Bombyx mori: one gene and its partner. The protein of the gene in region 2 interacts with the protein of the main gene of each other region in a pairwise test. Links are inferred from orthologs where the notes say so. Each region holds a gene or a part of one and is shown on either strand. Other genes may lie near its edges.

Region 1 (3,520 bases), on a different chromosome or scaffold from region 2:
GTGAGGTCCGGCGACGTCAGTTGAAGTCAAGTGAAAGTTTCACTGATTGGATCAAAAATGCGACTTGACTTAAGAGTGTAATGTTGTTCTGTCAGGATACGAGATGGCGGCACCGTCGGCGGCGCAGGGCCGGCGCCGGCTCACGTGGCTCGTGGAGGTGGGCGCTGCGCCCCCGTGCGCCCGGGTGCCCTACGAAAAGCATCTAAACTACACTAAGTGTAAGTGCACTTTTAATTTCTTTTTATTTAATACTAGCTGACCCGGCAGAATTCGTAGTGTCTCAATAGATAAATCAAAAACCTAAACTTTTGTATAAAATAAACTTAAAACAAACAAAAGGAATCCGTCCGACGGGGGACACATCAAAGGGAGAACAAAATTCCGAGCATTTTCATATCTATCTACCTTTTAAACCTTCTCTGGACTTCCATAAATAATTCAAGACCAAAATTAGCCAAATCGGTCCAGCCGTTCTCGAGTTTTAGCGAGACTAACGAACAGCAATTCATTTTTATATATATATATATATATATATGCTATCGTTAATTTTATTTAAAAAATCAAGTTCTGTGACTGTTACTAGTTCACTCCTTAAATACCGACAACACTCGCGTCAACCGACACGTACCTACTATAATATTATGGTCTCCTACAGAGTAGTACAGAGCGTGCCTGCCGACGCAACGCGCGCACTCAGCTCGTAGAGATAGTACGAGTAGGTACATGTGCCTGAAGGGCATAGCTTGTCTTCATTTATTATTCTATTATTATAAACCTTATGACGCTCAATCTTCAGTGTGCATACCTAGGATAGGTAAGATAGGATTTTGAAGTCGTCGTGGCCTAAAGGATAAGACGTCCGGTGCATTCGTATCGAGCGATACACTGGTGTTCGAATCTCGCTGGCGGGTACCAATTTTTCTAATGAAATACGTACTCAACAAATGTTCACGATTGACTTCCACGGTGAAGGAATAACATCGTGCAATAAAAATCAAACCCGCAAAATTATAATTTGCGTAATTACTGGTGGTAGGACCTTGTGTGAGCACGGGTAGGTACCACCGCCCCGCTTATTTCTGCCGTGAAGCAGTAATGCGTTTCGGTTTGAAGGGTGGGGCAGCCGTTGTGACTATACTGAGACCTTAGAACTATATCTCAAGGTGTGTGGCACATTTACGTTGTAGATGTCTATGGGCTCCAGTAACCACTTAACACCAGGTGGGCTGTGAGCTCGTCCACACAACTAAGCAATAAAAATAAAAAATAAAAAAATTTTGTGCAGACGACTTGCAACTTTGCGTGCAGGCGATTTGGAGTGGTTTTCAAACATATTATGTTTCAACGGACTGTGGATAACCGTAGCGGTACCAGCTGGCAGGGGCGGACTTCGCTACAGTGAGGTGATGCGGTGATAAAAGGGATGATGGAATCATATCAAACAATGATATGCTATCTATTGATGGCATGCCATTGTTGTGCTGATGATAGCACGGGGGATGCGTGATGTATCAGCCCTTAAAGTCTCTCCCAGACCGTGATGCAGGAGAGGCGGTCAACACTAGTGCCAGAAGTGGATATCCTATTGTCGTAGTCATTTCGTGGGCAAAGCCAAGTTGTCGCAAAAATGATGGGAGTCCTCAATAGAGCGAAGCGGCACTTCGCACCTGGATAAAGGTTTTGGTTTACAAACCACAAGTCCGGCCTAGCGTGGAAAACTGCCCCCATTTTTCAGCCGGTGCTCCAAAATACCAGCTTCTTCCATTTCACCTCAATCAGAAAAAGGTCAATCGGATTGTCGTTGATCCCATTCTCATGGATCGCATGGAATCTCTGGGTCTACGGAGGAACTTCGGTTCTCTCTGTGTTACGTACCGAATGTACAAATGTACGTAGGTACCTACTGTATCTACTAAATGTATGTACTCCACACGGCAGATGAACTGCTTGAGATGATCCCATCACCTCGTTATTACTATCGCACGGCCCGCCCCCGGAGTAGAGTTCTTCCATACTACCTGGAGCCACTACGTTCATTCATTCATGTTCGCCTGTCTACAAGGCCAATAAAAACAAAAAACAAAACCTCGGAGCCCTCCATGGAATATCGGGTACAAAACACAGAGAGCGCTGAGCTGCTCCTTAGATAAAGAGGCAAATGGAACTAACTAATAGTACAAAAAAAAATATCTTTGAATTTCCTCAAAAAATGCAAATAACACAGCGTGTACATATTTTTGTAAAGTTCATTTATCAGGTTACACTTAAGAGTAAAATATATTTTAATCTGCGCAGATAATATTTTATGTAAATAAATGAAAAGTGAAATATTTTTAAAGCTAACGATTTAAGCGAAATTATTCTGATTTTGCAACCATGTGAACAATCAGGAGTCAACAAAACCACTTACGACAGCCCTTTCTATTTCCTCTATTGTCAAATAACGCTGCTTGATGCATGCAGTGGTATAAATCCGAAATTAACTCTAATATCCCTAAGCGGCGGTGATACCATAAGTATGCTCAACCCTCCGTTCTATTTTAGCTATTACTAAATAAAGACACCTTTCCTACATCCAAGTTCCAATTATCAATATCATCGATATTCACAATTTTACAGACGTATTAGGTAATATTTTATCAACCACAAACCGCTGATTTTTCATAAAATATGCACAGAGTCGAACACAGAACGTCCTCATTTATATATTAATACGTGAAGCAAAAACTTTGTATCCCTTTTTACGAAAATTGCGCGGACGGAGGAGTATGAATTTTTCCACACTTATAGAGAATATAGAGATGAAGTGCACAATGCTAATATTTTTTTTAAATAATGCGTAAAAGATACATTAAATCAATCAAGAAACCATTACACACACTACATACCATGTATTTGACGCACACATGCATGCATACATGCATGCATACTATTTATTGTCAAACTTTTGTTCTTGACGTCTGTGGTCAAATTGAGAATACATTAAATATTGTTTGTCTTTATTAATATTTTTTTATAGCGTAGCCTTGGCGAAATTTGTGATGATAGAAGTAGAAAATACAATCATAATAGTGTACAAACTTATTATACAATTCCAATTAATCATAGTCGAATTTCGACTACTGCGGGACCTCTAGTTTTCTTAAGTCGGCTTTAAGTGGCGACACTACAGAGTGTAAGAGATAAGGGCGCCAAAAAATTTCACAGGAACTAAAAAAAGTAGTGTTAGTTTAGTTACTGTGAAATATACTTGAAATACACCTGTAAATATACCGAAGTACATACATATTTATTAAATTTGTCAATTTAAGTATAATGAACCTTATAATAACCGACTCCTACTTCTACAGTGCTCTGGGAACGCCGCGCCGTTGGCTCCGCCCACTTTCATTCTTAGATTTTCAATGTTGCCACAATCCAACGTATTCCAAGAATATTTGCTTTTAATTATATTTAAAAATAATAATAACTTTAATTTTAATCTATATATATAAAAATGAATCCCTATTTCCCTTGGTCA
Region 2 (3,997 bases):
TTAGTGGGTATACACTTTGATATTACTTTCACTCAGGCGCTTTGAGAAAATTGTATAGCTTCACACAATTTGGTCTTCAAGTAAACTTTAGACAGAACAGAGCATCAGGCGCCACGTCTGCATATTAAATTTACATTCAGTCTTGCCAATGTAGTGTAGATCTAAGGAAAAGCATATCGAGCCACAATTTTAAACGATTAATTAAGACATAAATAAGTCTTGTTAAAATATTTATTTTGTAATAAATTGATTATTTTGATGCAATTTAAAAGAATTATTGATAAAATTATAGACCTACAAATTGTACACAGACAATAAATAAACATTAGTAATTGTGCTGATTTGTGCTTACGTAGGATAATCTATGATACGGTAAGTCTGCTTTTTTTTTTCAATATGAAAATTAAATGAGCTTCTTGACATGATATGGCGTATGTTGAGTTCAAATTAAAATTATGTGGATTTTTTTTCGAAAGTGGGAAAGGTGTATTGTAAATTACCAACTTGGGATATGCGTACCTCTGGGGTGTTCCGAATCCCATTGGGGGTACGTGAAAATTATATTGGTAATGGCCGTAAATACTGAGAAGTTTAAGTAGTTAACTTAAAAAAATTAAAAATATGATGATAATGTTGTTTTGTCTACAACATATAGTTTTAAATGAACTTTATTCTAATAACTATTTAATAAAAACGACCGATAAACCAGAAATGAGACATTTTTTAAGTATGGAGTTATCAGGATTTAATCGAAGAGAAATGAGACACATTAGGTATGGAGTTATCAAGGTTGGAGAACTCAAAAAAAGTTTAAGGGGTATGGGAATGAAAAATGTTTGGAAAGCACTGCTTTAGATCACCGTGGCGGGCACCGTGGATTTTCATAGCAGCAAAAATCAATCCTTCTTTTTGAAAGTACGTAATAAAAACAAGATCGCTGTTGCGCAAATTACTTTAGATTGCCAATTTGAAAGCTCCGTAAATCCTTGTATTTTACTGAGTGTTCATTTAATGCCATTCCATCCCATCTCATTGGTTTTAAATATGTTTTATTCTTTTTCACTTTTCATTCAAACGATATGGGTTTTGCCTGGAATTTTTTACAATTGTCATTAAAGCTATCTTGAAAATGGATACCGGCTGTATGGGCATATATCCCGTTCTTTGACCAACAAAACATTTTTGGGTTCTAAGCCGTTTCCATGGGAACGTACAGTGTACACAAAATTAAAAATACCACGACTCCTGACAACCTTTATGAAACCTATGTTTCTTGTTAAATTATTGTAATCAACAATTTTTTGTGTCGTTAAGAATAGGTATATGGTTATTTGATATTTATTGCTTCATGTTTACTTTGTAATATGTGCAATGGAAAAAGAAATAGATCCACAGATCATAAAAGAAACTCAAACATCTCTCGGAAAATATGTGAAGAGGCCGCCTTTAAGTGAAAAATTACTGAAGAAGCCTCCCTTTAGATTTCTACATGATATTATTACTAGCGTGAGTGCATATATTTTTCAAAGCACTTTAAAAACACACTTAGAAAATTCAAAATAGCAATGACTTCAAAAATGCACTTTTCCAGTGACGTATGATAAGATTCAGCGCCCTGAGCCGATAAGGTTTAACGCCTTAATAAAATAAACGAAAAAAATATTTTTTTTAATACGAAATTAAATCGTGCTTTATTGTTTGTGTGTAAAGAATAATCATAAAGAATGAAAATATGAAAATGGCCAAGTAAAGAAAAAGCAAAACTGAGCGCGTAATGATGCGGTTTGCGTCTATCCTAACAGGAGCCTTTTTAGTTTTAGGGTATCTACCCTAGAACCCTAGAGGCGTATTTACGCTGTGTAATTCCACTGACGAGACCTGTTACAGAAAAATGACCAATCTGAACAGAAATTAAATAAAGCAACACCATATCTATCTATACTTTATTTTTTTATATTAAAAAGCTGAAGAGTTTGTTTGTTTGGTTGAACTCGCTAATCTCAGGAACGACTGGTCCGATTTGAAAATTTCTTTCAGTGTATATAGGCTATTTAACATCACACTAAGACCAATACGAGCGGAGCACTAATAAATAATGTTTCAAAATCGGGTTTATTTCCTTTTGGGAGCCTCCGCTGCGTGCGCTGCGGAAACGGTTTAAGTGTCGCTAAAATAAAATATGACAAAAAAATCCCCTTTAAAAGTTTTAAAAAAAACTCCGCGACGGCATATATTGGCTCACTAAAACCTTTTTTAAACTAACCAAATTTGTTCTAAAATAAAGCATTATTTGTGACGGTGTTTTTATAAAGATGATATTACTTAATACTTATCCAAAGAAATACGTTATTCATTACAAGCATTTAATTTAAAAGAAATTGGCCCTTTACATAATTTGATTTCAATGAGTATCCTAGAAGATATCGCAGTTTTAAAATAACATTAGCAAAATGCATAAGAAAAATAATGATCAAGCACGTAATAATGGTGTAGGTAGAAGGCGCCGCCGCCGCGCCGGTGCGCGGCGACATAAAATAAGAACAAAAAAGAAGTACCCAAATCATTTCAAGATAGGCTGAAAATTGTAGATTTTTTCGATTTCTCCAGGATCCCATCATCAGATCCTGATCCTGATGATTACTTACAGGACCATTCGGGAAGTCTAGCGTTTCGAACAAAAAAAAAGAATTATCAGAATCAGTTCAAGCATTCTCGAGATATCGGTGAACAACATAGATAAAAATATGGTGGTCGAATTGATAACCTCCTCTTTTGAAGTCGGTTAAAAAGCGTGACTTTGGTCCCTTAAATAGCTCCTTAACATTCTTTATTAAATAATATTTACACCTTCTATGAAGTCCCGGGTAAAATTTAGCGTTATCCCAAAGTTAATTAAAGTCTAAGTAAAATAGTCTGATATTACTTACAAAATGGCTTAAGTAGCTAACATGTCCTGGTAACAAATTTTTTATTACCATTGTATTCACTGCCTGATCTGAGCTGATGTTAATCTGTTACCAAAGTCCATAGACATCGAGACCTATGTAAGTCTAAGTTTTTACTAATCATTATTTTCTCTAATGCTTTTTATTATTAATTCTAGGTTTTAAAAACAACTGGATTTTTCGAAGGTTTATTTGAAAAGGACGAGTTAACTTCTGAGAATGTTAAAGATAGAGAGAGTAAAATACAGTTTTTAAATAAAGTCATTTCAGTTATACGTAAGTTGATTTTAGATGTATAGATGGATGAACGTGCTCACAGCTCGCCTGGGGTTCTAATATCGGAGTCCATAGACTTCAAAAAGTGAATACCTACCTTTACTAGGGTCTCTATTTCAATTGGATAGTAGTTCTGCAAATTAGTTTTATGTAAAATTTTAAAGCTAAAATAGGTGACCGAGCTCACTGCATACCCGTGGTTATCGGAGTTCATACACATCAACAACGGAAATGGCAGCACCCACCTTGAGACATGAGTTATAAATCTTAGTTCTATAAGTTCCATAGCACGATGGCTACTCTACTCTGTCTTAATGTATTAGACAGGCAATATTAAGTTATGAGAATATTGTAAGGTTCAAATAACCGTATCAGATACCGTTTTTTTTCTATCTATTAATGTAATAACTACCGCTGTCTTGCCCATATTCTTTTCGAAACTTTCGCAGCTACTATAATATAATATATATTAGATTAATACGTTGTGTTCCCGAACTCACTCACATATTAACACAATTAAGTATGTATTTAAAAAAACTTACAAGTATTCTTAATTTAGTAAATTTATATACAGATTATACAACAGGAAAACCTATCAATATTAAGCCTTCAAAGATAGTAGCAGGTCAAGAGGCAGAGAAAACGAATGAACTCTTACAATGTTTGGCACAAGCTCTAGACAACAATTTATCGTCAGTAGAAGCAGTGAAAAAATATAAAGAAAATGCATCACAAAATACTGTGCTTATAAAAGAAACGAGATCTAAAGAATCGAT

What was found. The genes of interacting proteins can lie anywhere in the genome.
Region 1: the proteins of TRAF3-interacting protein 1 (region 2) and dystrophin, isoforms A/C/F/G/H interact in a two-hybrid assay, tested with the Homo sapiens proteins (2 studies listed by BioGRID and IntAct). The link is inferred for Bombyx mori from reciprocal best matches to the Homo sapiens genes TRAF3IP1 and DMD.

What each region holds. Positions count from the first base shown.
Region 1 is NC_085113.1:13,856,831-13,860,350, reverse strand, and holds part of dystrophin, isoforms A/C/F/G/H, read left to right. Parts: intron 1-95; coding exon 96-218; intron 219-3,520. UniProt on the Homo sapiens protein: Anchors the extracellular matrix to the cytoskeleton via F-actin. Ligand for dystroglycan.
Region 2 is NC_085131.1:5,592,703-5,596,699, reverse strand, and holds the start of TRAF3-interacting protein 1, read left to right. Parts: upstream 1-1,188; 5' UTR 1,189-1,371; coding exon 1,372-1,506; intron 1,507-3,103; coding exon 3,104-3,221; intron 3,222-3,795; coding exon 3,796-3,997.